2 linked regions of the Ovis aries genome follow. The protein of the gene in region 1 purifies or fractionates together with the protein of each later gene. This does not show direct contact. Links are inferred from orthologs where the notes say so. Each region holds a gene or a part of one and is shown in the gene's direction. Other genes may lie near its edges.

What was found.
Region 2: the proteins of RBM28 (region 1) and REXO4 purify together in Homo sapiens (affinity purification with mass spectrometry; 3 studies listed by BioGRID and IntAct, with this or other methods). This does not show direct contact. The link is inferred for Ovis aries from reciprocal best matches to the Homo sapiens genes RBM28 and REXO4.

Annotation. Positions count from the first base shown.
Region 1 is NC_056057.1:94,216,580-94,232,164, reverse strand, and holds part of RBM28 (RNA-binding protein 28), read left to right. Parts: intron 1-3,576; coding exon 3,577-3,649; intron 3,650-5,775; coding exon 5,776-5,885; intron 5,886-8,438; coding exon 8,439-8,512; intron 8,513-9,875; coding exon 9,876-10,011; intron 10,012-11,026; coding exon 11,027-11,091; intron 11,092-12,810; coding exon 12,811-12,969; intron 12,970-15,585. UniProt on the Homo sapiens protein: Nucleolar component of the spliceosomal ribonucleoprotein complexes.
Region 2 is NC_056056.1:2,631,976-2,648,137, forward strand, and holds the start of REXO4 (RNA exonuclease 4), read left to right. Parts: upstream 1-8,583; 5' UTR 8,584-8,629; coding exon 8,630-8,842; intron 8,843-10,810; coding exon 10,811-11,145; intron 11,146-12,368; coding exon 12,369-12,506; intron 12,507-12,691; coding exon 12,692-12,885; intron 12,886-13,622; coding exon 13,623-13,711; intron 13,712-14,514; coding exon 14,515-14,589; intron 14,590-15,295; coding exon 15,296-15,370; intron 15,371-15,766; coding exon 15,767-15,880; 3' UTR 15,881-16,162. Other genes in the region: ADAMTS13 (A disintegrin and metalloproteinase with thrombospondin motifs 13), read right to left, coding at 2,828-2,894, 3,225-3,332.

The DNA of each region.
Region 1 (15,585 bases):
GATGGCATCACGGACTCGATGGACGTGAGTCTGAGTCTCCGGGAGACAGTGATGGACAGGGAGGCCTGGCGTGCTGCAAGTCATGGGGTCGCAAAGAGTCGGACACGACTGAGCGACTGAACTGAACTGAACTGAATCACTGACACCTTCCAAGATGGAGACTAACAACAGCAATAAAGTAATCCATTATTATAGCAACAAACTACTGAATTCAGAATTTTTTATCTGGAAAAGCTCAGGTCTTTTTAGCAGTCATCTCTGCCTTTTATTGCATGGGCTTAGGAGTCACATCACATGGTTTCAAGTCCTGACTCTCTTATTTCCAGTTGTATGGGTCTGTCAAATCCTTGCCTCTGGTGTCCTCATTACTTCATCTGTGACTGGATATCAGAGGTCCTCATCTCCTGACATTTAGAAGAGTACCTTCCCTATAGTAGACTCTCAGTGATACTAGTTGCCTTTGTTGCTACTGTCTTTTTATGGCCTCCTCCTCCAACAGTCTTCTAAAAAATGTGTGAGTCTCATCAAGTTAGATGTGAGATGGCTGCTGATAGAATCTTCTGGCTTTAGCGGTAACTAGGATGGATGTAGAGGCAGTTTTTGAGTTCTGCTAACTAGAATGTAACCTTGGCATTCCACTGCTCCATTCAGTTCAGCAAAACAAGTCCCCTCTCCTCTTCATTCAGTTAAAAGAAACACTTATTGAACACCTACTAATGTTAAACTTTGAACTGGAAAAAAAAAAAAAACAATCCTTGTTCTCCTGGAAGTTTTGATCTGGCTCATGACTTTCAGTCCCAAAGAATTGGCAAGAAAACAAGCAAAGACCAACAAACACTTCTGCATTTGTAGAGATTTTTTTTTAAATGTAGATAAACAAATTTGAAACTGATGAATGAATGTTATTCTGTGCATACCCTTCCAAATTGTGTGCAAATAAATGCCCACGTGTTTGCTCTTTGAACTGTTGCAATAGATGCTGCATGTGACAGTGATTTTTGAACCTGTCAGGATAGAAAAATGTACCTTTTCTTTTTTAACTGTTGTTCAGTTGCTCAGTTGTGTTTGCCTCTTTGTGACCCCCATGGACTGCAGCACGCCAGGCTTCCCTGTCCTTCACCATCTCCCGGAGTTTACTCAAACTCATGTTCATTGGTGATGCCATCCAACTGTCTCATCCTCTGTCATCCCTTTCTCCCACCTTCAGTCTTTCCCAGCATCAGGCTCTTTTCCAGAGTCAGTTCTTCGCATCAGGTGGCCAAAGTATTGGAGCTTCAGCATCAATCTTTCCAATGAATATTCAGGACTGATTTCCTTTAGGATTGACTGGTTTGATCTCCTTCCAGTCCAAGAAACTCTCAAGAGTCTTCTCCAACACCACAGTTCAAAAGCATCAATTTTTCAGTGCTCAGCTTTCTTTATGGTCCAGCTGATTTCTCTGTAGCTCAGATGGTAAAGAATTTGCCTGCAATGCAAGAGACTTGGGTTTGATCCCTGGGTCGGGAAGACTATCTGGAAAAGGGAATGGCAACCCACTCCAGTATTCTTGCCTGGAGAATCTCATGGACAGAGGAGCCTGGCGAGCTAGTCTTGGGGTCACAAAGAGTCAGACACAACTGAGTGACTAACACTACTACTACTCACATCCATACGTCTGACTACTGGAAAAACCATAGCTTTGACTATACAGACCTTTGTCAGGAAAGTGATGTCTCTGCTTTTTAATACGCTGTCCAGGTTTGTCATAGCTTTTTTCCCAGGGAGCAAGCATCTTGATGGCTGCATTCACCATCTGCAGTGATTTTGGAACCCAAGAAAATAAAATATGTCACTGATTCAACTTTTTCCCGATCTATTTGGCATGAAGTGATGGGACCAGATGCCATGAAATTAGTTTTTTGAATGTTGAGTTTTAGGCCTGCTTTTTCACTCTCCTGTCTCACCCTCTTCAAGGGCTCTTTAGTTCCTCTTCTGTTTCTGCCATTAGAGTGGTATCATGCGCATATCTGAGGTTGTTGACATTTTTTCTGATATGCACACCTTGATTTATTCAGACAGCAGATACTCAGAATGCCTGCAGTGCTGGATACTGGGTGAACAGGAGTGAATTAAGAGAATAAAACCCCATGTTTCCCAGAGATCACAGGTGCAGCTTGTTTAGCAAAGAGTTACAAATCCTGTTTCTGCTCCTTTCTTGAGGTATGACGTTGGGGCAAGTTACTTAACCTCTTTATGCCTCAGTTTCTTCGTCTATAAAATGGCTCTAGTAACCACATAGGATTGTGAAGATTAAATTATCTGTACTACTAATGACTACCAATATTATCATTGTTACTGTTCTCTGCCAGTAGTGGAGTATAAACAACAATTTTGAATTGAAATGGGGATAAAGGACCTCCCGGGGCATTTTGTAAAACTGTAACCAAACCATATTACTACTTTCATCAAGAATGTTGGGTTTAAACTCCACTTATTTATTGAGTGAGGCAGGTCATTACAGAATCAAGAGTGGTCAGTAAGTGGTCCTTTGGTTTCCTTGGAGGTTTTTATTCACTAATCAGGTCTCCCTTCTCCCTTTTTTGTAAGTCTGGCATGTTGATTTGACCATATGAGAAATCTGAGGAAATAAACTTTTTCTATGAGGAGAGAATGGTAGACACCTTAGAAGCAAAGAAGCTTTTACACTGAGAGAACTGAGAGACCTTTCATCCTGCAACGAGATTCAGCTGTCTCTTCTTCACTAGGAAAAATGGCTGATAGACACTAATGAGAGAAAAATAATTTAAAATATATGTGTGGTGCAAAAGGATGTAACACAGAAAAGTAGAAATTCCTCACCAGTCCTCCCATCAGTCCCCAAAGTTCAGTTCTGTTCAGTTCAGTCGCTCCCCCAAAGTAGCCTCTGTTATTTCTTTTGTATCCTTCCAGAAATTTTCTTCATATATATAAGCATATATGTCAATTCTTAAAATCAATGAATCTCCCTTAAACCCAAATCCACAGCCACTTAAGGCCCTTTCCCAGAAACAACCTGATGGGCTACAATCCATGGAGTCGCAAGAGTTGGACACAACTTAGCAAGTAAACCACCAGACAACCAGGGTTTCTTGTGTATCTGAGGATAGCTAATATAATACTTCTGTAAGCTAAAACATGAATGTATATGCACTGGTGTACAGTGTAATGTATATTTGTCTATGTGAATGTATTTTTTTTTCTCTTCGGATGTTCTACATTTTACATTTCTAGAAAGTTTACCATCAGACAGTGTAGGGGAATCTCTTTCTCTCTCATTTTCCCCCACACCCTTACCATAATGAATTTCATCTGTCTTTTTTGATTTTTGCCAATCTTCGGTGAAAAATAATATCTCATTTCTGGTGCTATGTCTTTCTTTAATTATGAGTGAATTTGAGCATTTTCATATATTTAGTTGCATATCCTTTGTTCATTTTTAATTGGATTTCTTCTTAATTTATGTAAGATCTTTATATATTTAACAACTTAGCTCTTTGTTGTAAGGCTTGCACTAGTCCTAAATTCAGTTTGTTGCTTTTCTTTTTATTTTGAATATAGAAGTCTCAAAGAAGAAGAGGAAGAAGAGGAAATTACCCTCTGATGTGAATGAAGGGAAGACTGTCTTTATCAGGTATGACTTTCTATCTGGAGAACTGCTGTTTCTGTCACCTTCATAAGTTTTTCTTCTCTTCTTCCTCTCTCCCTTCCTTTCCTCTTCTTCTTCTTCTTTTTTCACTAATTCTGTTAGCTAGGCCAAAAAGTTAGATGCATGTAAGACCATCAGCACATCTGCCTAGGAACGTAGCACCACTGAGAAACGTGTAGGAGAATCAACTATACACAGGAGGTAAGCAGCAGGGGTCTTTGTATCTTGTCCCCATTTAGATGTTATTCTTTGTAATTGGGGTGGTGTCATTGGAACAAATGAATTCTTCAACTATTATTAATAGAAGCGTCTTGCTTCTGGCCTTTGTTTTAGGGTGAGTGCTGGGGAGGGATTGTACCTCTTGTCCCTAATTCTCTCCTCACGCCTGACTGATCTAAAGTCATGTCCATAAAGTGAAGCATCCTGTCTGTTTCCTGGAAAACCGAGAGAAGGGGATACCGTGTCAATGTTGCCTTTGCTGTTTCAGTTGCACTGACTGCCGTAGGTTGGCATTTTCAGGAAGTCGGGATGTCCTTGGCACCCCTCAATGGCCTTTTCATCCTTTCTTGAGTACCATTTTTGCTCGGGCTATTTGGGTCTTATTTTAGAGATTTCTGTTTTATTCTCTTGTACAGTCTTTTAAAGATGGTCTTCATTATGCAAGTAATTTATGTTTATTGTGGGAAATTTAGGACATGAATAGGCAAAAAGACATATGCACAAAATTAACTTTTCATCACTACTCAAGGAATACCCACTCATGTGTTCATATCATAAATACTTAACAAGGATGATTTCAGCTTATACATGCTGTGCTGTAGCCCATTTTCTTCCTTTATAGCACGTCTCCATTTTTTTTTCTTCTGTGTTATTTGGAATTTCCATGTAAACAATTTCATGTTTGTAGAGGATTCTGTGTAATAGGAATGAGGAATGTCACACTTAGAAGCCTGTGACCTCAGTACCAAGATTCCCTTCCTTATACATCTTTTTAATTTAAAGAGAACTTAGGAAAGTAAAGGGATGGAAGAGAGAAGGCTATGAACACGATGAGGCAAATTAGAAGCAATAATGTAGCTAGGATGTGTCTTATTGCAGAAAATCTTTTTTATCTTGGTTGCTCAATAAGATAAAACTGTTTATGGAGCTGTTAATTGAGCAAAAGAGAAGTAAAATTGTAGATATTTACTTGGAACTCTTTTTCTTGCCCCTGGAAGGCTGTGTATAACTGGGTTAAGAACCTTTACACTGTGTTGAAATTTAGTAGAACAGTGTCTCCTAACATTTTTAATCCCATCAAGGGATCCCATCTCCCCTCCTCCCCCCGCTTTTTTTTTTGTACTTAGCTAATAAACTTTACCATGTTTGGTTTTGAGTTACTATTTTGAAAGATTTTCTGACTTTTGTAAAGTTTTAACTGAAACCGAGATTTCATAGGAGTACAGAGGAGACATTGAGAGATGTTTGATTTCTCATTTGCTGTCAGTCTTTTGGTTCTAAGGGAAACTAATTTTGGCCAATTTAAGTGAAAAACCTGGTTTGTCGGATGAACGTTAGGGTAGCTCACAGAATCAAAGTTGTCAAAGAGCAAACCTCAAAAAGGGACCTTTGCTGGGTCCTTTGCTGTGGAAGACTGTGTGATCCTTTCTCTGAAGACACTCATTCTTGTTTTATCCCTTGTTAAGGTATAACATGTATTCTGTAAAGTATGTGTACAACCCAGTGACATTTTTCATATATATAGCCACAGATATACATATACCTTTATATGTGGAGATACATATATATGTTACAGAACATGTTCAGCTCCCCACACAGCTGTTTTGAGATAAATCTGTATCTGCAACTTCCGGTCTTTGTATATGTGTGTTCAAGTTTTATATTCCTGGGAGAGAGAATCTGATTAACAGAGGACGTTCAGTCGGTTATGGCCAATGGCCAGAGTCATACATCGGTGGCCTGGCTAGCGGGGGTCACCCCTTGGTGCTATCCTTGGGGAGGGTGGTTCCAAGGAACCACTCCAGATGATGTCTGACTCATTCATCTTGTACTGGAGCACAGGGTCTCACTTTTGTAATTGAGCTCTCTTGTTCCCTGATTGTCCTCCATAGAAACCTGTCCTTCGACTCAGAGGAAGAAGACCTTGGAGAGCTCCTGCAGCAATTTGGAGATCTTAAATATGTCCGTATTGTCTTGCATCCAGACACAGAGCATTCTAAAGGTATTTGCTGTCATCTGGTTAGGCCCAAAAGGATTGAGACCACTGCCATGGGCACTGACTAGGTTACATGAGGGCATAATGTGTGCCCTCCGAGGGGTCCACCATCATCCAGGTTTCTGTGATCCATAGAAGCACCAAGGACATTCTGAGGTTGTTTTCCAGTGATGTCAAACTCAGCATCTGTCATGGTGTTGCCAGCTGTAATTTTGTCTAAGCTTTTTAAGCTCTTGCTTATTTACTTTAGGGTAATGAATTCCATTTGTTGTTCTTTGAATTTCAAATGTGATAGCATCTCATGGCTATTAATCATTCCACAGTGCTTGAAATTAGGGAGCTATTTTTCAGTTGCTTTTGTTAGTGAGGGAAGCTGATGGAAACTTTGTTGCAATGCCAACAGTCAAAAGGAAAAGCAGAAGTGCTGCCTTAGTGGTGGTGCTGGTTTGTTTTTTTTTTTCCCTAAGCTGTTTCTTTTGAGCTAAAGGTTGACCACTCCTCATTCTAATATACTGTTGTTAGATAAACATCTTTTCAACCCATTCATAATCTTTGATTTTTATCAAGTACAATTGTTCTGCTAAAGCAGTGACTTTTTAATTCATTCTGGTTCTTGATCCCTTTGAGATCTAGCAAGAACTCTGAACCCTATCCTCATAAAAATGCCATTTCTGAGTGTTTTGGAGCTCTCTGGAGCCTATCTATGGATTAATTACTTCCATTCTAAATCTTATTTTCCTGTTTGATGAAACCTGATCATTTTTAGTTTCATTAGCTTTAGAAGATGTAAAATGAGGTAGTATAATGGAAAGGTTAGGTTAGGGGTCTAATCCCAGCTAAATCACCAGCTGGGTGATTTTTTGGCACCCATTTAACCACTGTGGGCTTCCGTTCCTTATCTGTAAAATGAGTGGGTTCAACTAGAGTAATCACTTAAGGTGCCTTTAGCTCTGATACTCAATTATACCTCTTGGACCTTCTCCATTTTTATTTTTCTGAAAATGGGCAACTAGAATTGCATAGAATGTTGCAAGTACTGTCTGATTCTGCTTGACTTTGGTCATCTCTTTTATCTCTTTCTGAGTGCCCTAATGTATTGGGTTGACATTTTTAGAATGGAGTCTGTGGTTGATTGCTCAATCTCTTTCTTGGTCTGTTAATGTTAGCTGAGAGTTAATGGTTTTAATGAGCATAGTTTGTTTTTTTTCCATGATATGTTGTCTTTCCCTAGCTCATATTAGATTTTCCTGGCACTTTCTGCCTACTCACACAGCCTTGGCTGCCTCCTACCCCTCATCCCTGTTAGCTGCTATTTTGCTGCCTGGAAGGGCTAAGTATTATCTGAAGACTTTTGGGGAAGTGTTAAAACTGACCCAGTAGATACCCTGGAAATTCCCATGGTAACATTCTTACCCATTCAGAGAGAAGAACCCACCTCATTTTCTTCACATTGGACTTCTTTCTGTTTTACTTGTTGCTTCCTATTGAGTATCTTCTAATGGTGGATGTTATGGTACATACTTTGGATGTAGAAACAGCCAAGAAACATGAGCTTTCTTCCTGAGACGTTCAAGTCTTTTGAGGAAGATGCTCCCTGACATCCATAATAGAAATGGGAGTGGAGGATGGCTGGGGTGGAGTGTAGGGGCAGGGGGGGGATACAGGGGTTCTTACTTAGCTCTGCCTGCAGGAGGCAGGGAAGACCTCACTAGACGAGGCCTTTGGCCTGCCACATGCGTCCTTGCAGTTAGTTGGCTGCCATTCATTCTTAGAGGGGCAAAAGGTCAGTGCCCCAGTAGCTCTAGGAAATATGGCACTGCCTTCCTCTGTGAGGGAAGAATTAAGGTTTTTAGGAATGTTAACAAAATATTATGGAACTTAATTTTTTTTTTTAGTTTACTATAAAGTCAACTTTTTTTTTTTTCCTTATAAAAGCTGCTTTTTATCAAAAGCAAAAGATTAGGATAGTTGATAGGTCCTGCCTCTAACCAGTGAAAGTTATGCCTGTGGAAATTCTATAGCAGGAGTCAAAAGCTGAGCTCATGACTTTCCAGTTCACCACTATATTCACAGGATAGAGGCCAGGGACTTTTACTCCAGGAACTAGACTTGCCCTCATCTGATCCCTCCTTAGGGAATCTGATGACAGTGAGATCTGTAGTTTCAGGCTTAAGTGATTGCTGCTTCATTTTTTTTTCTTTTCAGCCCTCTAACAAGCACGTAGAATGTGACACTGAAACATTAGGCTGGGATTTCTCTAGTATTTCTTGCGGATATATCTCGTTGCATGAGATGGTACGACTAAAGTTTCTAAGAAGCATTAGAAAAGATGAAGGCAATAATAAAAAAATTTCATTATGAGCAGGTGTGCTGTCTTGCCTGTCTTGAACCCCTGGTGCTGGACACAGTGCTTTTTAGTTAAGTTTCATTGTACTTAACACAAGGGTGCTACTACCCCTTCCGCTTCATGTCAGGCTGCCACCATGCATAGTGTTGTCTTTGGCTTCCAGGTGGGCCGTGAGAGCCTGGGATCCCACTTAGTTTTGTCTCTCTGTGCAGGCTGTGCATTTGCCCAGTTCATGACTCAAGAAGCAGCCCAAAAATGCCTTGAAGCTGCTTCTCCAGAGGCCGAGGTAAGGAAAACATTTCCTTTATTCTGTAATTTAGGTGATTGCCTTCCAGGGGCAATAGCTGATACTTCCACAAAACTTTATTATTATTATTGTCAATGATATGAAAATAATAAAGCTAAGACTTATTGAATACATAGTGTGTGTTAGGACTTCCCTGGTGTCTCAGATGGTAAAGAATCTGCCTATAATACGTGAGACCTGGGTTTGATCCCTGGGTGGGGAAGCTCCCCTGCAGGAAGGCATGGCAACCCGCTCCAGTATTCTTGCCTGGAGAATCCCATGGACAGAGGAGCGTGGTGGGCTTCCAGTCCATGGGGTCACAAAGAGTCGGACATGACTGAGGGACTAAGCACAGCACAGTGTGTGTTAGGCACTGAGCTTTACACGCATGACCTTGTTTAATCCTCACATCAGTCCTATAGGTGTTTATAAGATGAGTAATCCTTTATAGGTGAGGAAGTAGGTATAATAATTTATATTATGGGTCAGTTTCTTATATCAGTCTCTATCCTAGGCTGATGGTGTGAAAGACTGGGACAAGAAGGGATTAAGGCCATCTATGAAGTGGAGTAAATGTTTGAGAGAGAAAGTGTGTAGGTGATAGAGAATTTTTCTGTGTATTCTATAACCAAGTATAAACTGTTTTGAGCTGAGTTATCGTGTATTGCCATTGTCTCTTAAATTCTCATGAGTAGAGTTATCACTACTATTTCATTAGCTTTCTTTAGCATACTAAAAATTTGCCTATTTACAGATCGTTTTTCTTAATTTGGTCCTACTTTGGGACTAATCAACTCCCTGAAAACAAATGAACATGTGGCCTTTGCATAGCTGTGCTAAATACTGTTCAGCTCAGTGATCCACTTGCATCTGGCTGGCCTAAAACATCCTAGCAGCGGGGGTCCACACAACAGTGGGGGTTTGCTGGTTTCCCTTTCCTTGGTGCTCCTTGTCAGGTGCTTAGTTTCTGCTCATCATGAATTTTATTTTATTTTATTTTATTTTTTACTCTTGGTATTTTTTTAGGTCTTTATTCTCCATCCACCCATAAAAGTCATTTTTCTCCAAGATACTCTTCTTTTTTTTTTTTAATTTTTATTTTTACTTTATTTTACTTTACAATACTGTATTGGTTTTGCCATACATTGACTTGAATCTACCTCGGGTGTACATGTGTTCCCAAATATGAACCCCCTCCCACCTCCCTCCCCATAACATCTCTCTGGGTCATCACCGTGCACCAGCCCCAAGCATGCTGTATCCTGTGTCGGACATAGACTGGCGATTCGATTCTTACATGATAGTATACATGTTACAATGCCATCATCATGAATTTTAAGAGAGAGGTTGCAATCTATTTCAGGGTGGCGGACTTAAACTGGATGGCCGGCAGCTTAAGGTTGACTTGGCAGTGACCCGTGATGAGGCTGCAAAACTCCGGACAAAGAAGGTGAAGAAGCCGACTGGGACCCGTAACCTCTACCTGGCGCGAGAAGGCTGTGAGTAGTGGCAGGGAGAGGGGAACCAGGCTCTGGAGTAGCTGGCCACTTGCCATGACAGCAACCTGACAGTAGTATGTTTGGAGCATGTTTCAAATTAAAAGCCCTGCAGCCTCTTTAATGGTGGTATACTATTATTATTGTACTTTAGCAGATGTAGTAGATAGTCCACTTTAACAGAAGCACAGCTTTCTGTTAGGAAGCCTTCACCCAGTTCATGGGTTAGCCAGTCCCCATTCTCCTTTCTGACTGATTGTCTTTAGACCTTTTCATCAGAAGATTATTTCATCAGAGGGAGGAAAAACCCAAAGTACCTTTGTCCCTTATCATCATTTCTGATAGGTTTTTTGAAGGAGTTGAAAATTATGACTAAAATTACTCTTTTGGATTACTTATGGATTTAAAATATGCACTGAGCACCTTTCCCTTAGTGTCTGAAAGATAATCAGAAATTAGCTTTAATTAAGACAAAAGGAGAATTCCTTCCTTTAGGTCACACAGTACTGCCACCTGCTGCACAACCTTACCGCCCGGACTAGCAAATGGGAGGCTGTTAACCTTGGAGGCCGGGCCTGGTGTTATACAGTGTGGCTGTTCTCTTGGTTGGCTTATCTCACCGCTTAGAAATGGCTCCCAAATACATTAGCAGGGAGATTTCCAAGGACAGGTCATAGGTAGAGCATATTGGCATTCCAAATGCCTAAAATGTACTTATTTCCAAACTTCCTTTAGGCCTTCCCATCTGACTTTGGGCACGACATGAAATTTTTTGAAGGGAAGGAAGAAGAAGAACAAAATCACAAAATGTTCAGAGTTTTAGTCCTTGAGAGCAGCTCATAGACAAGAACTTAGCCCTGTAGCCTATTTCTGGACCTACCCAGATAACCACTGTGTCCTGGCCAGCATAGTCCTCTGGGCCCTCTATAGAGAGCTTGCATCATTCACATCACATTCCTCTTATTGCTCAGTGAAAATTCCCTTGCTGATGTCTTGGCCTTTTTCCCTCTTTCTGCAGTGATTCGCGCTGGGACGAAGGCTGCAGAGGGTGTGAGCGCTGCTGATATGGCCAAGAGAGAACGAGTGAGTAGATTAGGCACCAGCTTCAGGTTCTGCAGGACTTAATATAAATCAATAAATAATAATGCTAAAGGTGCTCATCAAAGAGCCAAGCAAGTATCGGTCACAGGTGCTACTTATACTATTGTTGGAAAACATGTATACAGGTGGAACAGCCACTAACCTGACGTTATACATCATACCATGTCAACATTATGTACTGGGTCTTATTCTTTGTTTTTGTAATGCTCAACAGTATGTGTTTGCCAAATAGTATGCTTTTAGATCATGAAGTAGACAGAGGCTCAGGCTATATATAATTAGGTGTCAGTATAAATGCAGAATAATATGAGAAAGGAAGGTCAGTGTGGGCTAGAGTAAATAGGGAGGGAAGTGTGGATGTGTGTCTTGGAAGGGAAAGATAGGATGTATTTTGGTGGAGGGAGGGTGGTATCTCCAGATTATGAAATCATTTTAGGAAAACCCCATACTATGGGATTTCTAGTGATAACTAATATTGTTGAGTTCCTTTGCTGCTTAGCAATCTTTGTTCCAATAATTTTTGCTTTTGCCCGTATAGTTTACTTTCACAAAGCTAAGCCAGCCTAGAATGGTAAAGATGCATGATCATTAATAGAATTAGCTCTGGAGCCTGGAAGTGCAAAAGATGACGGACAGAGATGAGAATATAGTGACGGCTGGAGGCAGCATGTCTTTTCTGTGCAGGCTCTAGACTGGTGTCCTCAACAGGTGTTGGTAGTGAGCATCTGGAGATCATGGTCTGTGGGGGCATTGAATGCCCTTTTCTGATCACAGTGCGATAGTGACACATTTAATTCTCCTTAAAGTGAATTTTCCTAGCAAAAGGCTCACTAGATTATATGCATTATAATTAAACAGCAGACACAGCTTTTCCTGGGAGAAAAATCGCACTGTTGAATTTAAGCACGATAACCCTTCAGATAGCCCTTTTAATATTCATTTCCAGGGTATTTATTTTGTGAGTTTCTGTAATAGTATCTTTACCAAGTAAGAAGTGGCAAAAATGAAACTTGATAAAAGTTTAGCTTAAAACTTTTCTGCTGAGCTGCTCTTAAGAAACAAGTCAGGAGAAGGTCACCCTTTCACTTTAGAGAGAGGTTGTCCTGGGGCCAGTGCTTTGTGCAACATAGGTCAGGCTCTGGAAACTGTTTGTTTCTATTGACGTTTCTTTGCCTCAAGGTGGCAGAGTTGAGACAAGACAGTATTCTGTCGCGTATTCTTTAAGTAAATCCATCTCCTTTTGGAAGGAGTAAATAATCAGTTTGAGTTGGTGGATAGGTAAGGACTTGGCATAGATGTTAACTACAGTATTGTTTATCATTTGCTCTGGGCCAGATTTGAGCTTGGGATTTTATGCATGTTACCTTATTTCAGCCTCACATCAGTACTGAAAAATTGGTATCATATTTTGATCTGCAGTTCTACCCTGTAGGTGAAATTATTGAGGCTTAAAAAGTGTTACGTAACTTCTCAAATTCAGCCCGACTCCATGATCTTATCACCCACCCGCCCTCTTGCCGCCTCGAACCTTTCTTTCCCTATGTGCTGGGCATCACCAAAAGGCTGCAGCATGGGTGATTCCCTTATCTTTTCTAGATGTGTGGTTACTGGATTGGGGTCATGGTTCTTTCCTGTTGGAGAATTATGTGCCTGTATCTTTAAAGGGTGGATTGTACTGTTAACAGTTTGTTATTTTTTCAGTTCGAGCTGCTGAAGCATCAGAAACTCAAGGACCAAAATATCTTTGTCTCCCGGACCAGGCTGTGCCTGCACAATCTCCCAAAGGCCGTGGATGACAAACAGCTCAGAAAGCTGCTGCTGAATGCCACCAGAGGGGAGAAGGTGGTGCGCATCAAAGAGGTGAGAGTTGGCTCTGCCCACTGGGGGCTTCGGTGCTCGTCCTGGGCCAGAGCGCATGTTTATTTCAGGCTGTGGTGCTAGTGGGTTTCGCTGATGGCTCAGCAGTAAAGAATCCACCTGCGTTGCAGGAGACATAGGAGACGCAGGTTTGATCCCTGGATCGGGAAGATCCCCTGGAGGAAGAAATGGCAACCCACTCCAGTACTCTTGCCTGGGAAATCCCATGGGCAGAGGAGCTTGGCGGGCTACATCCACGGGGTCACAAAGAGTCGGACACTACTGACGCGACTGAGCGCGCATGCCCAAGGTGCTAGTAGATTGACAGATTTTCTTTTGGGCTCATTGTCAGCAGACAAGACTGAGTTTAGTGATGTTCATGGTTTGGGAGGTTTAAAAAACTTTTTTCCCCTCTTCTAAGAACTGCTTTTCATATCTGACCAGTTGCAGCAGAATGTGCAGAAGTATCTGCGCTCATGACTTAATTCAGCAAGCATTTATTGGGTACCTGCTGCATTCTCAGCATTATACCAGGTGCTGTAATGTTAGTTTTCTTGCAGAGAAGATAATCTATGTTCTCTGCTCCTTGGAGGAGCATTTCACTACCATTTAGGCTCTTGCACTATAGTAAGTTCTCAGTGCCCTGTGGTGAGCACAGGGAGTCACTCGGGTCTTCGGCAGTTGTGTTAGACAAACTCTGAATTCACACCAAGACTTAGTCAGGCTCTCTATGACTACAGGAACTGCTGTCCTGCCCCCGCAGCACCCCCACATGCCTGTTGTGGCGTTTATTACTACACTGTCCTGTAATTGTTCGTCAGTCATTTCTCCCAACCACACTGAGCTCTTTGAGGGCAGGTGTCATCTCATTGTTCCCAGTTGCTGGCATAGTACCTGGCACATAGTTGTCTCTTGATCAGTGTTTATTGAATAAGTAGCATAGCCAGTATTATGAATCTGCTTTGCTCTGATTCATCACCATAAACTATTTTCCTACTCCTGGAAATCCTCTTCAAAATGTAAGATATTGCTATTCAGGGAATTATAGGAGAGAATGTGAACATAGCTGCCACCACTCTTGGTAAAACCATTCAGTTACTGTCATAAGAGTCAGTTATGTAATTTCTCATCAGCATCTGCAGGACTTAGTAAGAGCCTGCATATCTAACACCTGTCATTGCTTAGAGACATGTATGTGTATTTTACAGTATTTGCATTATATTGAATTTTCTCTTTAAATCTTTTGTATGTGTAAGTATAGTGTTCAGCTAAGATAGTAAGCTTTTTGAAGATCAGAGCCTCATTTTATCCTTTTCTTTTTTTAAATGAATACCTGAATCGTTTTACTATACACTGAAAGCTAACAACATTGTAAATCAATTATACTTCAATAAAAAATTTTTAAACAGCAAAAAAATCAGTTATATTTTCTTTTGAAATACAATCCAAATTTCTTAATCACTAAGAAAGCTAAGGAAAAAAAGAGTATCAAGACACAGTTTCTATGGCTCTGTTATAAAGCATGCCAGACGAGCCACAGGTTAATATAAATGTTCATCTCAAAAATAAAAACAACCCACCAGTAGTGCCAAGGGATGGAGTATTTAGTAACATCCCCACTGAGGATAAGAATATTTCCACATTGTTTTGAGTGTACAATTTTAATGTTTTGCTAAGGTGAGTCTTCATCACATACCACTTCATCGATGCTGTGCCCAGCCAGTCTGCCATCTGCAGTGGGCCAGTATCTCTTGATGGCCCCTCTTCTAGCTACGGGTGGTAATCACTTCACCTGCTCAGTACTGTCCTGACTCAGTCCTTTCATTCTTCTACTGTGTTCAAAAGACTGTCAGCTTCTTTGCCTTGGGCATCACAGTCGTAACTCTGAAGGTCCAGAATAAATCTGGATCCAGGCAGGTAAATTCTCAAATTGGCAAAAGCTGCCATTTTTATGTAGGTTGCTAAATAGCCATGGTCCTGCCAGGTGTGCACTGACTCCATCATCACCTGCTCCCAGAAAATGGACTAGAGGCCTTTGGAATGGTCTTACCATCCAATGATCTCACTTTGGCTCTGAGCATGAAGTCGAGGGTGCTGTGCCATGCTGCATCGAGGCGAGACCTGGCCAGGCCTAGGGGCGGCAGCTGAGGAAACTGGAGGGCTGCGCAGCGTGTCTGGCTGCCAAAATGCTTTTCTCGACTTCCCTGCAGTACATGGCACCGTTCTAGGCACAGAGTGGATACTGGACATATACCAAATGCGGCATCCACATGTCCCTGATACCTAGACTTCTCCATTACTGACAAACACAGTTTCCTAGGAGTGAAACCCCGTAAATGGTCAGTTTTCCCAAAATACCCCACCATTCCTTGGTGCCCCAAGATGCCTGGTACAGCTTAAAGTTTTAGGAAAAAATCATGCAAGAGAAGATCTGAGCTCTGAGCAAATACAGGTGACGCTCCTTCCTGTATTTCTGAGGCTATTTGTTGGTCAGGATCTTCCTCATGCCAGAACTTTCTTATCTAAAGCCATCAGGCCTTCATCCTTCCCTTCTTGAGTAATATCTCTTTTGAGTGACTTCTTCAGTGAGGAGACCTGCAGACAGCACTTGAGGCCTGG
Region 2 (16,162 bases), on another chromosome or scaffold:
AATCCCAAACTCCTAATCTACTCGTCCCCTCTTCTCCTTTCCTAACTATAAGCTTGTTTTCGGTGTTGAGCGAGCAGTTCCGTGCTGGCCCTCCTCGAGCTGGCTTCTCAGGGCCTGTGGTTTTGTGCCCTCAGCCACCAGCTGAGTTAGGACATCTCTGCCCTCCTCGGGCAGGGAGTGGGAGGTGCCAAGCTCTCGCACGTCACTCGCGCCGTGACTTTTAGAGCAGACGTCTCGCCCGGCTCACAGGAGAGAGTTGGCCAGGTCTTGGGAGGATGGCTGTCTCAGGTGGAGAGACTTCATTCCACCCCCCCGGGCTGGCTGGGCATGCAGGGCAGTGCAAGGCCCAGGAGTCAGCTACTGTGTGGATTTTACATCCTCTGGTCACCCCAAAGCCCCACTGTGGGTACACTGGAGAACGACATCATGCCAGGATGGTAAGAAAAGCCCAGGACCCCACCGTGCTTGCAGCAGACGCAGCCTGGGGAAGGCACAAGCAGGCCTGCGGGCAGCAGAGCCGACTCCCACCGTGGCTGTGCCCGCAGTCCTTGCGCAGGCTTGCAGCGGCCACTTCTCATCTTTGGGCCTCTGGGTTCCCATCTGCAGCATGGGAACTCTCAGTGACCTCTGACCTAGGGCCCAAGGCTCCAAGGCCCATGTCAGAGAACGTGCTTTGTAGATGGTGAGCGGCTGTTCAGGGGCGGGAGGTCTGCGCGTCCGCCAAGCAGACAGTCTGAGGGCGCAGCTGGCGGCCATGCGCCCCCGGCCTGCCCCGTGGGCTGGCACACCCTGCATGCTCGTGAAGGCGGCGAGGAGCTCGGCTGTTCCGCACGGCCCCAGGCATCAGGAAAGCCGGGCCCTCCCCCAGAGCCGTCCCTGCCCACAGCCCCCTCCCCTCCCAGGAGCTGCACCTGGAACGGTGGGGGCCCCGGGGGTGGGCCTGTGGATCAGGTGGGGCTGCGCGCCCCCCCCTCCCAGAGATGCACCAGTGCCCGGTGCTGCCTCCTCAACGGCTGGATGTAGAACCCATCTGCACCCACCAGGATGTCGCCCTCCTGGAGGACAGAGAGCCATCTGGTCTACCAGCCCTTCCCCCTGTGCAGGGAAGCGCCTCGCTGGGCCGTCACCGCACCAGGCACGGACTGGCCCTGGGTCTCTCCCAGGGCTCCTCCCCAAGTCCAAGGCCCAAGAGCCCATCTGTGGGGGCACAGAGGGGGACTCATGCCCTCTGGGGCTGCACCCACTGACTGCCACCTGCCGCCTGCCCGCCAGCTGGGTTCCCGTTCCCCGTCACATGCTCAGGCTTCAGGCCCCAGACTGCAGGGCTTGGTGAAGACCACGGGAAGGATGGAGGGGGTCTCAAGGGCCGCACTGGGCCTGCGCTAATGGACAGCGCTGCCTGTCACCGGGTGGCCCCCGAGTGCCCTGTCTCGGCCCGGGCTGGACCGCCCAACCAGGCAACCTAGCAGTGGGGGGCGGGGGCTCTGCTCACTGCGTGACACGGTGGCGACGCATGACGCCAGTCCCCGCAGCCCCCAAGAGGCCGGGGCCGCCTTCACCGCGCCTCAGGGACAGCACAGGCCAGCGGAGGGGCCGGCCCCGGGTCAGTTGGACGAAGGGGCGCAGCTGAGCCCGAACTCAGCTCTGACTGCAAAGCCCACCCTCTTTCCATCCCCCACGCCCCAGGCCTGCACTCAGCTCTGTCCCCTGCTAGCTGGGTGGCCCTAGAGAACTCAGCGGCTTCTCTGAGCCTCCGAGGAGCAGGCCCTCACTGGGTCAGAGTCTGGCTAAGATCCAAGCGGTCTTGCTCTCGCATCTGGGGGCTGGGGGACACGTCCGCCCCAGGGTGTCCCCCCAGCCAGCCTGGGTGCCCCCTCACCACGAGGCCCAAGCAGTAGGTGAGCCTGGCTGCTGCCTCCGGGGGCAGCAGGGCCCGGCCTCCTGTGAGGCAGGGGTGGGGAGGCCCCCTCAGCAGCCACAGGGAGGCACTGACCGCGAGCTCGCTGGCGAAGGAAGCAGCCAGCAGGCCCAGCTCAGGCTGGAAGCAAAAGGAGAAGAGCCGGCCCAGGGCTGCCAGGGAGCAGCACAGGGCCCTGCAGGGCGGCCCCGCCAGCCCGCCCTCGTCCTTGTGCTTGCAGGCGCAGGCCGGGGAGGCCACGTCGAATGGGGGCGCTGCGGGAAACAGGAGGCTCCGCGCTCACCCCTGCTCGGCCCTCCGGGTCCTCTTGGGGGTCCCCGCTGGCCCACCGGCCCGGCCCCGCACCTGACCCCGACCCCAGAGCAGTCACGAGCGGGACACCCCTCACTCTCTGCTCGCCCTGCCCCTGGCCCCCACCGGCCTCTGGATCAAAGTCCCCAGTGGTCCTCGTCGGAAAGGGGGCTGGCACCATGGAGAGGCCCACAGAGGCAGCCCAGGAACAGCGGGAAAAGGCTCTGGCAGGAGTGCGACCCAGTTTCCATCTTGCTTCTCACAGAAAACGTAAATGTTTACATCCTGGCCAGAAACCCGCAGGACTTCCTGAGCCGGTCGTCCCAGGCGAGGCGCCGGGCTGGGAGAGACCAGCTGATGAGTGACCGTTGCCTCGAGATACTGAGTAGACTCCCAGGGTCAGAGCCCCAGCTCGCCCGGAACACCCAGACCAGTCTTTATCAACTTGGCAGACAGGGCCAGAGTTAATTAAGAGCGACAGCGGCGCCTCTGACTTCCTCCCAGGACAGCCTCCAAAAAGTCGGGCCCCCTGACTCAATGGTGAGATGCCCCTGCCTCCCCCCACCCCCGGGGGCTCTGAGAAACTTCCCTTGCAAGGGGGCCCGCCAGGACACGTACCTTCAAAGGCAGCATCAGGGCCAAAGTAAGAGGTCACGTCCCCTGGCTCCAGGGCCTGCAGAAACTGCTGTGAGACAGAGAGACAGCACTGAGGAGTGAGGGGACACAGGGAGGGGAAGTGGGGGGAGCAGGCTGAGGGGCAAGAGAGGGGCCCTGGACAGACTGGAGTGGCGGGGACGGCATCCGCCCTCAACATCAGGCGCACAGCACTGAGGCCGACTCCATCTCCAGGGAGCCCAATTGTCCCCTGAACCCCGCGTTCAGACTTCCTCCCCCTCTGCCCAAGTGCTATTGGGCACCCCTTCACCCCCCAGGGAACCCAGCCCTGAGCCCTAGGAGAGTCTGGATTCTCAGCTCCCGGGCTCCCCCAGCACCACGGCCCCGCGGGCCCACCCACCTGCCGAGGATCAGGGAGCGCCCAGCAGCTCAGGAGGAAGAGCGCAGAAGTGAGGGTCCCCTGCATGCACCTCCCCAGCGTGGAGGGAGCCATGCTGCCTGCGATCATCTGCCGGAATCCTGGAGTGCTCCTGGAGTGCCGGGCAGGCAGGGCCTCGGGGCTGGACCAGGAGGCTGGGTTTACTCGCAGGCGCTTCCTCCCAGGGCAGGCGCTGGGGGACTAGGCGGCCTGCTGGCTCCTCCTGGCCATGCGCGGGGGCTGGCTCTGATTCAGAGGGCTGCCACCCAGCCTGCCCCTAGGAGCACGGGGCTGGGGTCGGGGATTGGGGAGGGGTAGGATTCATCTCCCAGCAGTGTGACTGCCGCTCCCCCAGGGACACCCTGCGCTCCCATCATCACCTCATTCCCTCCCTCTCGGCCCCTGCCTGGCCTGTGTCTGCATCCAGCAGGTGCTCACAGCACTGGGCTGGGGGCACTGGGCACACTCGGCGTCACAGGCTCCCTGATCCCCTCCGTTTGCTGGGAGGTTCTCAGGAGCGTGTGCCCACTCCCCCCGCCTCCAGGAGGCCTTCCCCAGCAGGAGGCTAATGAGGGAGGGGGCCCCCCTGGCCCGTGCCCACCTCAGCCCGCTTCGAGTCCTATTACACTAGAGGTGCTTGCCTGTCCATCTGGGCGCGTCCGCTTCCCCTCACAGCTGCCAGCAGCGGTCTGAGCCTCCGCCCTTTATCTGCCACGGGCATCCCACCCCAGTGGGTGCTGCTCTTGCCCGACTCCGTCTCTGGCAGTGCTTTCCGAGACCCAAACTGACACACCGTGCTCATCCAGCCATCTCATCAACCTGGGCTGGGATCTGGACTGGGCGTCCCACCTGGCCCCTTGGCTCTCCCTCCCCCCTCCCATCTGACGTCCTCACGCCCCAGCTCTGCCCTTAGGATGTCATGTCCACTGAGGCTCCAGGCCTTGTGATTGCCGTCTGGCCCCGTCAGCCCTCTGCCTGCCTCCCCAGCCCGCCCCCTGTGCTCACAGACCTTCAGCTACCCACCCCCAGCTTGCCGTCCGTCCCTCAAACAGCTCCAGTGTCCTGTCCACCCCCTCACCTCTGGTCTTCACAGTCCAGTTTCAGCCCAAACATCACCTTCTTCATGGCGCCATCTAACTACCCCTCCCCCCACGAGGGGTGCCACATTTAGAAAAAAAGTCAGGACAACAGTGGAATTTGAATTTCAGATAAACAACGGAAGTTTTTTTCTTTCTCTGGTGTACGGGTGAAAGTGAATGCAAGCAGGCAAAGTGGTTGTCTTGGGAGGTCTCACAAACAGCCGAGAAAAGAGAAGCGAACCACGAAGGAGAAAGGGAGAGGTCTGTCCCAGTGAAGGCAGCGCTCCAGAGAAGAGCAAGGAGGGGTAAGGAAGCCTTCCTCAGGGAGCAGTGCAAAGCCATAAAAGAAACCGGCGGAATGGGAAAGACTGGAGATCTCCTCAAGAATATGAGAGATACCAAGGGGACGTTTCGTGCAAAGATGGGCTCAATAAAGGACAGAAATGGTCTGGACCTAACAGAAGCAGAAGATATTAAGAAGAGGTGGCAAGAATACACAGAAGAACTGTACTAAAAAGATCTTCATGACCCAGATAATCATGATGGTGTGATCACTCACCTAGAGCCAGACATCCTGGAATGTGAAGTCAAGTGGGCCTTAGAAAGCATCACTGCAAACAAAGCTAGTGGAGGTGATGGAATTCCAGTGGAGCTGTTTCAAATCCTGAAAGATGATGCTGTCAAAGTGCTGCACTCAATATGCCAGCAAATTTGGAAAACTCAACAGTGGCCATAGGACTGGAAAAGGTCCGTTTTCATTCCAATCCCAAAGAAAGGCAATGCCAAAGAATGCTCAAACTACCGCTCATCTCACACGCTAGCAAGGTAACACTCAAAATCCCTCAAGCCAGGGTTCAGTAGTATGTGAACTGAGAACTTCCAGATGTTCAAGCTGGGTTTTGAAGAGGCAGAGGAACCAGAGATCAAATTGCCAACATCTCTTGGATCATAGAAAAAGCAAGAGAGTTCTGCTTTACCAACTACACTAAAGTCTTTGACTGTGTGCGTCACAACAAGCTGTGGAAAATGTAAAGAGGCGAGAATACCAGAACACCTGACCTGCCTCCTAAAACTGGTGTGCAAGACAAGAAGCAACAGTTAGAACAAAACATGGAACAACAGCCTGGTTCAAAATCAAGAAAGGGGTGCAAGGCTGTATATTGCCACCCTGCTAATTTAACTTATACGCAGAGTGCATCATGGAAAATGCTGGGTTGGATAAGTCACAACCTGGAATCAAGGCTGCCAAGAGAAGCATCAAGAACCTCAGATATGCAGATGATACCACTAGGACAGCAGAAAATTAACAGGAACTAAAGGACCTGTTGAGGGTGAATGAGAAGAGTGAAGAAGCTGACTTGAAACTCAACATTCAAAAAACTAAGGTTAAAAATACACGTGTATCCCATCGCTCATTGCAGCACTATTCCCTATAGTTAGAACACGGAAGCAACCTCGATGCGAAGGCAGACACTTCAACCTCTGAGCTACCAGGGAACTCAGCCACAAAAAGGAACTCATTTGAGTCAGTTTTGATGAGCTGGATGAACCTAGAACCTGTTAAACGGGTGAAGTGAGTCAGAGAGAGAAAGATAAATATTGTATTCTAACGCACATAAACGGAATCTAGAAAAATGGTTCTGAATCATTTATTTGCAGGGCAGCAACGGAGAAACAGACATAGCGAACAGACCTATGGACATGAGGAGGGGGGAGAGGGCGCGATGCATGGAGAGAGCAACATGGAAACTTACATTACCGCATGGAAAATAGAGAGCCAACGGGGATTTGCTGTCTGGCTCTGTGTCAACCTAGAGGGGTGGGGTGGGGAGGGGGATGGGAGGGAGGGTCAAAGGGGAGGGGAGAGATGTCTACCTATGGCTGATTCGTGCTGAGGTTTGACAGGAAACAGAAAAATTCTCTAAAGCAATTATTCTTCAATAAAAAATTAATTAAAAAATAAAACTAAGATTATGGCATCCAGTCCCATCACCCCATGGCAAATAGAAGGGGAAAAAGTGGAAACAGTGACAGATTTTATTTTCTTGGGCTCCAAAATCACTGTGGATGGTAACTGCAGTCGTGAAATTAAAAGACGCTTGTCCTTGGAAGGAAAGTTAAGACAAACCTAGACGGTGTATTAAAAAGCAGAGACATCACTTTGCTGACGAAAGTCCATATAGTCAAAGCTATGGTTTTTCCAGTAGTCACGTACAGATGTGAGAGTTGGACCATAAAGAAGTCTGAGCACCAAAGAATTGATGGTTTCAAACTGTGGTGTTGGAGAAGACTCTTGAGAGTCCCTTGGACAGCAAGGAGATCAAACCAGTCAATCCTAAAGGAAATTAACCCTGAATATTCATTGGAAAGACTGATGCTGAAGCTGAAGCTCCAATAATTTGGCAACTTGATGCAAAGAGCTGACTCCTTGGAAAAGACCCTGATGTTGGGAAAGATTGAGGGCAAGAGGAGAAGGGGATGACAGAGGATGAGATGGACAGATGGCAACATCAACTCGACAGATATGAGTTTGAGCAAACTCCGGGAGATGGTGTCAGACAGGGTAGCCTGATGTGCTGCAGTCCAAATGGTTGAAAAAAGTTGGACATGACTTAGCAGCTGAACAATAACAATGACGTCCTCAGGGCCTCCCAGGTGGCTCAGTGACAAAGAATCCACCTGCCAAGCGGGAGATGTGGTTGGATCTCTGGGTCGGAAAGATCTTCTGAAGAAAGAAATGGCAACCCTCTCCAGTATTCTTCCCTTGGGAAAGCCCATGGACAAGAGAAGCCTGGCAGGCTACCGTCTACGGGGTCACAAGAGTTGGGACGCAACCTAGCGACTAAACAAGGAGTATGCCCTCAGTGTTGTAGCTATTATATGGAACATATTATAGTAAAAATTATTCTTTATCTGAAATCCCTGTTTCTCTGGGCGTCCTGCAGGTTCTTTGGCAGCCTTAACCCTCCTCGGTCTCTAACACAGCATTTCATCTTCTCATCTTGGTGGCAGTTGCTAGGATACAAAATTGCTGATTTGGTATCTGAATCTCCCTGAAGGGCCCCCAGCACAGGTACAGAGGCTGGGATGGGAGCTTTGGGGAAATGCAGGCCTGGCCTCCAGGTGTTGTCAGAGCCAGGCAGGAGGTGCGAGTAACATCATTGTTGTCACATAACATACAACACTCTCACTCCTTGGAAGAAACGTTATGACCAACCTAGACAGCATACTCAAAAACAGAGACATTACTTTGCCAACAAAGGTCCGTCTAGTCAAAGCTATGTTTTTTCCAGTAGTCATGTATGGATGTGAGAGCTGGACTATAAAGAAAGCTGAGCACCGAAGAATTGAAGCTTTTGAACTGTGGTGTTGGAGAAGACTCTTGAGAGTCCCTTGGACTGCAAGGAGATCCAACCAGTCCATTCTAAAGGAGATCAGTCTTGAGTGTTCATTGAAAGGACTGATGCTGGAGCTGAAACTCCAATACTTTGGCCACCTGATGCGAAGAGCTGACTCAGCTGAAGAGACCCTGATGCTGGGAAAGATCGAAGGCAGGAGGAGAAGGGGACGACAGAGGATGGGATGGTTGGATGGCGTCACCGACTCAACGGACATGAGTTTGAGTAAACTGCGGGAGTTGGTGATGGACAGGGAGGCTTGGCGCGCTGCAGTCCACGGGGTCGCAAGAGTTGGACATGACTGAGCGACTGAACTGAACTGAACAGACAACACTTGTCCCAGCGCTTTATCCTTGTTATCGGATGCTGCTGGACTGCGGAGAGCCACCTGGGGTCGCCCCTCCCGGCCCTGGACCTCAGTGTCCCCGCCGCGTAGGCAAGACGGGCCGGGGTGGGAACAGCGGCCGGCGGACAGCGGCCCGCAGGACCGGGCGTCGGCTCCGCGCCCGCTGCTCCCCGGTCCGGCCGCCCAGCGCCCCCTGGCGGCCGCCTGCCGCGCTCCCCGCCGGCCCGGCCTCGGTGCTACACCAACAGCGGTCCCCCTCGCTCCCCTTCCGGCGCTCGCCTTTCTCGGCCCCGGGCCTGCCCTCAGAGACATCCCGGGCTTCTTCCAACCCGACCCGGGGCCTCCAACCGCGGACGCCGCTCACCAGGGCGGCGGCCCTTCTCCTCAGCAGTCGAGGAGGCCCGCCCTTCTCCCGGCTGTGTGGAACCAGAGGCGAAGGCTCGGTTTCTAGCCCGGTTGGGGAGAGAGAGAGCACTTCCCGGAAACCGGGGCCCACGTGAGGGGGACGCGTGCCGGGCGGCTTCCGGGGTCCCGGACTGCGGGCAGCCGGGCTCCGGGGCCGGCATGGTGAAAGCGAGGGGGCCGGCCGCCGCGCGCGCCCCGCGTGCCCCCGCGCCTGACGCTGGGCCCGTCAGGAAGCCGAGACGGAAGAAAAGGGCCTGGAGGAGCAAAGCGCGAGAAGCCGGTGGGGCGCCGGGGAACGACCCCGGAGTGGTCGCGGTGCGGCCCCCAAAGGCCCCGGAGGACTTTTCCCCGAACTGGAAGGCGCTGCAGGAGGCAAGTCCGCGGGGGGCCTACGGGCGGAGAGGGGGACGGTGTGTGGGTCCCGGGGGGCGCGCGGGCTGGAGCGGACCCGGGGAGCAGAGCCGATCGCAGAGGCCGGAGCGCGTGGGCTGCGGAACAGCAGAGGCTGCATGCAGAGGACCCTGCTGACAGTTCAGTTCAGTTCAGTCGCTCAGTCGTGTCCGACTCTTCGCGACCCCCTGGACTGCAGCACACCGGGCCTCCCTGTTCATCACCAACTCCTGTCCATCGAGTCGGTGATGGCCATCCAACCATCTCATCCTCTGTCGTCCCCTTCTCCCGCCTTCAGTCTTTGCCAGCATCAGAGTCTTTTCCAGTGAGTCAGCTCTTCGCATGAGGTGGTCAAAGTATTGGAGCTTCAGTCTCAGAGTCAGTCCTGCCAATAAACACCCAGGACTGATCTCCTTTAGGATGGAGTGGTTGGATCTCCTTGCAGTCCAAGGGACTCTTAAAAGTCTTCTCCAACACCACAGTTCAAAAGCATCCATTCTTTGGTGCCAGCTTTCTTTATGGTCCAACTCTCACATCCATACATGACTACTGGAAAAATCATAGCTTTGACCGTATAGACATTTGTCAGAAAGAAACATCTCTGTTGTTTAATATGCTGTCTAGGTTTGTCATAGCTTTCCTTCCAAGGAGTAAGTGTCTTAATTTCGTGGCTTCAGTCACCATCTGCAGTGATTTTGGAGCTCCAAAAAATAAAGTCTGTCACTGTTTCCCCATCTATTTGCCATGAAATTCTGGCAACACTGGGCCTTTAATCGGTGACCACTGCTACTGATCACTGAGTGCTTCACGTGTGCTTTAGACACTGCTGGATGAGCTGAGCTGATGTGTTCATATTTAACCTGAGACCGACTCTGAGATCTTGTATCATCTGCATTTTACAGATGAGGAAGTGGGCCTGACAGGTTAAGTAGATTGCAACCAGGTCAGCAGAGCCAGGAGTCAGACCCCAAGCCCCCTCCCATCAACTCCCTGCTCGTAATGCCACGATACCTCCTTGCCTTTCTGGGCCATCAGTGCACCAAGACTTGCAGATTACCTACCGGCCACTATCTCCTGGGTGCTGTCGTCGGCTGAGCTTCACTCGTAAACCGCCTTCGCCAGAGTCGGCTGCTGCTGTACAGCTGTTTTCTGGATGAGGAGACTGGGAGGGGTTGAGGGACATGGCCCAGGGTCACACAGCGAGCGCCTGGGGTGCAGGTGCACAGGGCTGGGTGGGAGTTCGCGCTCTTTGCTGCTGCCGACCCTCATGGTGTCTCCGCAGCCTCTTCTGAGCTCCTGAGATCTCTCCAGGAGTCTCAGAGTGGGTGAGGGGGAGCGCAGAGAAGGGCTTCTGAGACTGTTAACCTGCGCCTTAAGGGGGGAGTCCAGATCATTCTCCTGTCCTGACACATAGACCATGAAATTCCCTCGGGCAACCCCAGGGGTCTCAGACTTCCTGGGCTGTAACTCGGCCTCTTTCTTACAAGAAAGTAAAGCAAAAAGAAGCGAGCAGAGGGATGGATATTTGTTGTGGGAAGAAACTTCACGTTTTCTCTAATTCATACAAGAAAGGCAGTTCTCCTGTTGTTTAAACATCACAGGAACAGCTAGGTAGGAACTGCCTCCTCACTCAGCTGGTTGCCGCACAGCAGGGTCTTAACCGAGGGCGCTGGGCTGGGAGACCTCAGCCCTCCCTGGGGGAGAGCAGGGGTATGGTGGTCCACCCCGTGTCACTGGACGTGACCATCTCTTCCTGAGACCCTCACAGCAGGAGCAAACCAAGGGATCTGGCTGAGGAAGTGGCCCCCACGCGTGGGCTCGGGAGGAGGAGACTCTGAAACAACAGTGCGGGGGCGGGCGGCTTCTGGACACAGACGCGCTTCTTTCCCACCTCTGGTGTGCGATTCCCAAATCACAGTGCGTTGTGTATTTTGTTTTGGGTTCTATTAGCTGCTGAAACAAAGATCACAGACTCCACAAGAGCCTCCACTTCTCTCTCAAACGGATTCCAAAAAGCAGCCACAGCATGTCCAACAAAGTAGAAACTCGATCTCAGATAAAGCAAAGAGAGATGCGATGGGGATGGAAAACACAGACCCTGAGGTCACAGGGTCCTCTGGGCCCTCGGGATCACTGAATAGCAGGAAGATACAGGCGCAGCCCAAGGAGAAAGGGGCCGAGAAAAGGACCAGTGGTGACATTTCTCGGCAGCAAGGCGACATCAAACATAAGAAGCGGAAAGCTGAGGAGCCGACTGCCCCCTTGCCTCCAGCCCTGCCCACCAAGTAAGTACCACGGGACGTGATGATGGATGCGGCCTTCCCGGCCGCCCTGTGCCTCAGCCTCCTCCCCGGTCACAGCCACCGAGGCCTCTCTCCCTAAGGAGGCCGAGGCTGGTGGCCCCTCTGTCACCTTATCCTGGCGTTGTGGGTTTCTTCGTGGGTAATTCAGGGTGATTCAGCTAATTTAGAATTAACCTGGGGTAAGTCTGTCCCCCTAGAACGTAGGCAGAGCAGAGGCTGACCCTGTCCCATAGCTGCTGTATCTCCAGGGCCCTGAACAGGGCTTGGCACCTCGTGGGCCCCCAGGAAAGACTTGTGGAATGAACGAACACCAAAGCCAGAAAGACTTGAGTTCAAAACCGACTCCTGCATCTTGCCAGTTGGGTGGTTTGGGGCCAGTTCCTGAGGTGCCCTGAGCAGCAGCGCGGCAACCGGTGCTGGAGCTGAGGCGCCCCTGCTGCCCCAGTGCATGCCGGTTATGCAACAAAGCCTGGGTGTCGCCCACGCGGGACCGGTCAGCAGCTGCCTCTGCATGGCTCGGCAGGGGGTGGTGTGTCTGTAAGTCCGCCTGGCTGTGTGTCGCCGGGGGTTGAGGACGCAGTGGCTGAAGGTTTCAGGAGGCAGCGTTTCAGGGCCTGCGTGTGTCTCGGTGCTGGGCGCCCTCTTGGGAAAGAGTGGTCCCAGCTGGGCCCCGCATCGAGAAGGGGCCGTTGGGGTGCGGGGATGCACTGATTCAGTGACTCCCGAGGTGTGGTCGGGGTCAGTCCTGCGAGGGAGGAGCCTGAGCGGGCAGAGGCCAGAGGGCCTGTCCAGTCGGCCAGTGCGTCTCGGAGGAGAGGACCCGGCTGCTGAGCATCCCAGCCCGGGCGCCCCGTCTGCAGGCTCGGCACGGGGACGCTGCGGGCACCAAGGGGTGTCTGAGTCTCCATTTTCCTGGCAGCGTGTTTATCTGTGGTCCCTAAACGTCTGGTAGCTGTTCGTTCTGTCATTGAGAAGGAAACGTCACAGCCGTCACACCCGAGTAGGGGCGCAGGTGTGTTTCCGTCTCGTGTTTTTTGTGTTGCTCTGAGGTTCCTCCATTTTAGCTAAAGGGCGTATTTTTTAATTAAACGGGAAAGTGCCAAGGTGATCACCGTGGCCGGTGGCCAGGCACACGGGCCTGAGCTGCCCTGAGAGCGGGCCACGCTCGCCACCGCGCTCAGCCCGTTCTCCCCTCTGCCTTCTAGAGAGGACATCTGGTTTGACGATGTTGACCCAGCGGACATCGAAGCGGCTATCGGCCCAGAGGCAGCCAGCGTAGCGAGGCGGCAGCTGGGTCAGAGCGAGAGCAGCACCACGCTGGTGAAGGAGCGGCCCTTCGGCGGGTACGCAGGGCACACTCAGCCTCGGGGGCGGCGGGGGCTCTTCAGGAAAGGGCTGCTTCCCTCCCCTCCTGTCGTATGGGCAGGCAGCTCGGTGCCTGGCCGAGCCCAGTCCTCGGCACGGCACTGAGTGGTGGAACCGGGTCCTGGATCCCACCGGGTAACCTGGAGCCTTGGTTCCTCCCCAGGCTGACTAAAGCCTTAGCCATGGACTGCGAGATGGTGGGCGTGGGCCCCAAGGGGGAGGAGAGCATCGTGGCCCGCGTGTCCCTGGTGAACCAGCACGGGTGGTGCGTGTACGACAAGCACGTGAAGCCGACGCAGCCGGTGACTGACTACAGGACCGCCGTCAGCGGCATCCGGCCCGCGGACCTGGCGCAGGGTGCGTGGCTCAGCCGGGCACGGCCGCCACGGGGGCCCGGCAGTCTTTCCTCCCTCCCGGGTGGGTGGGCTTTGTGTTGGCCTGGCTGCCTCTCGGCCGCCTGACTGTCGGCTGGACCAGTGTCCCCAAACTGTGGTGTCGCTGGGCAGCGGGGACAGACAGGGTGTCAGAGGAAGAAGGCCGCTGGGAGGTGAAGACGGGCCTGGGGAGGCGGGACAGGCGGCAGGGTCTTCTAGACTATTGGGAAGCTGTGGGGACAGGGCGAGCAGCGGGAGGCCTGGCCTGGGGCAGGTTCTCGTAGGTTCCCTTGGGATCCCTACATTGGGAATGAGGTCGGGGGGGCAGGCGGAGGTGTCCCACCTTGGGACACATCCGGGGCCCTGGTCTGCAGAGTTTGCCCTTGGGCGAGCTGTGCTCGGGGGCCTTGAGATCTGGGGCCTGGAGGGATCCTGAGGGCGGGGGCTCGAGGCAGCTGCCCCCCTCCTCTGGGCGCGTGGTCTCTGCCGTCCACGCCTCTCGGATCCTGGAGCACGGCCCGTGCTGCGGCCTGGCTGCTCCTCGGCCCCAGGCTCTGCCAGTCCCGCCTGGGCCGGGTGGGCAGCCCGAGGGCACGAGCCCGGTTGGCGCAGCCTCCCCTTGGCCCGCCCTCCTGAGGCCCTGACCCACCCCGGGTCTGACGGGGCAAGAGCGCTCGCTCTCGGCGCGGCACTGAAACCTCTCCCGTGTGTGGCTTCCAGGAGAAGAGTTTGAAGTTGTTCAGAGGGAAGTCGCGGACCTGCTCAAGGGCCGGATTCTGGTTGGACACGCGCTGCACAACGACCTCAAGGTGCTGGCCCACGCCTCTGTGTCCCGCGGCGTCGGAGGAGCCGCGCGCGCCTCCCGCCGTGGGTGACGCGCCCACAGTGAGAGCCGGGGCAGGGGGCAGCTCCTCACACACCCGGGTAGACGGAGCCGTGGCTAACGCTGCCGCCCCGCCCAGCGACGGCCCCACTCCTCAGGGCAGAGCCCCCTCCCCAGGCGGGGGCACCCCCGGTGCCTGTTCCCTCGGAACCCCGGGCAGACCCCATCTCACAGGCTGGCCCACGGCGGGCGGCAGGCCAGCTTCGAGGGCCCCTTCCTGTGCCCCTGAGGGTGGGGCTCGGCCGTGCCCGCCAGGGTCTCTGCCCCGGGCCGCACTGGCCCGCCCATTGGGATGAGGTGCTTGGGCAGCACGTGCTCTCAGCTCGGAGGCCCTGGGCGCTCAGGCTCCCGCTTCAGCCCCTGTGCCCTCCCCACCCTGGTAACCTGGGCAGACTTGCCTTCCACCCTCTCCTGGGCCTGTCTCGAGATCGTGGGGGGCCCCGTTTCATCCCTGACTTTCTGTGTGTATGTGTGATGCAAACTCAAATACAGGACAAACGGTTGCTGGTTCCTTGGTGACTGAGTCTCCGCCTTCCCCACTTTTAAGGCTGTGTTTCTGTCCACGCGTTCTTCCTGCTGAGCATCACCTGTCCCGCGATAATCGCCCCCAGGAGTTCAGCCTCTCATCAGTGCTTTGTCCTGTCTGTGTGCTCAGTGTGGGATTCTGAGAAAGGGGTGCACCTTTCTGCAGATAGACACCAAAATGCCTGTCGTGCCTTCCTCCTCCAGGCGCTGTTTCTGGGCCACCCAAAGAAGAAGATCCGGGACACTCAGAAGTACAAGCCTTTCAGGACCCAAGTGAAGGTACCTGAAACCATGTGGTTCTGAAGGCGTGGTTCACGTGATTACGGGTTCTGGTCCCTGGAAGCTGGCTTCCTGGTTAAAGGTGTTTGGGTTTGGTTTGGTTTTCCGTTTTAACCTTTAAAACTAAGAGGAGGGACTTCCTACTTGTCCCGTGGTTGGGACTTGGCGCTTCCATTGCCGGAGGCCCAAGGTCAGTCCCTGGTCAGGAAACTGAGATCCTGCATGCTGCAGTTCAGCCAAAAAAAAAAAAACAACCAGTGAATAAATAAATGAGAATCACAGGAGAATTAGACATTTTTAAAAAAAGTAATCTTAGAGAAGACTTGGCCAACCCAAAGTTAGCGCCCCTGAGGGCAGTGGGCCCTCTCTCACCTGTGGTCACACCCCCAGCTGTGGGTCAGAAGGCACGTTGTGTGTGTTCCAGAGGCAGGGCCGCCGCCCCGACAAGCAGGGACCCCCCACGACGAGCAGGGCCGCTCCCCCCTGCCCATGAGCAGGGCCGTTCCCCCACCCACGAGCAGGGCCGCCTGGGGCCGACGATGCATAGTCCCTCCCTGGTCCTCCGCTGGCCAAGCGGGCAGTCACCAGCCCACACGGCCACTTTGCGTGGGAGGGACACTCACAGTCCCTTGGGTCAGTGCTCGGCGGGCCACCCCCTGCCCAGGCCCCACCCGAACGTGGCGACGCGCTCCCCTCTCCCCGGCAGAGTGGACGGCCGTCTCTGAAGCTGCTTGCAGAGAGAATCCTGGGGATCCAGGTGCAGCAGGCGGAGCACTGTTCAGTAAGCACGTCCTGGGTGATGGGGCGACGGGGCGACGGGCCTCCGGGTCCCGGGTGACGGGGCGACGGGCCTCTGGGTCCTGGGTGACGGGGGTGAGGGGCCTCCGGGTCCTGTCTAGATTGCAGACCCCCAAGGGCTGAGGGTGAGGCTGCGGGCCCACAGAGCCTGGCCCTCTGGGCATCGGGCTGGGCCCGCAGCCCTCCCATCTGCCTCCCGAGTTGTGTGGCATCCGGGGCCCCTCGTGAGCCAGCACGCCCATCCCTCCCGAGTGGGAGCCGCGTCAATGGTCATCGCCCCACGTCTGGCGGCAGGACTCGGGAGCTGTGGGATGGACGGGGGTGGGTGGCCACACCAGCCACCAGCAGGATGACCGTGGTGATGGCCCGTGTCCCCCAGGTCCAGGATGCACAGGTGGCGATGAGGCTGTACGTCCTGGTGAAGAGGGACTGGGAGAGCCTCCCCGGCGACAGGAGGCCCCCCGCTCCCGAGGCCCGCAGCCAGGACGCCTAGCAGGGCCCCGCCCCAGGAGACCGTTGCGCCTGCGGGAGCTGCAACCGCATCAGAGGGCAGTCGGAGCCCCGGAGCCCCCGGAGCTGTGACGCTGAGGGCGGGTTTCAAAATCACGGCAGCAGAGGCACGTGGTGTGCGTGCTGCTATGCTGAGCCTCTCCCACACGGGGGGCCCCGGGGCTGTCCCTGCGGTTCCCCGGGGCCAGGGCGGGAAGCATCTGGTTGTCTGACGGGTCTTCATCACCTTCCTCTGGGGGGCCTCTTTCCCTCACTGCTGTCGGCA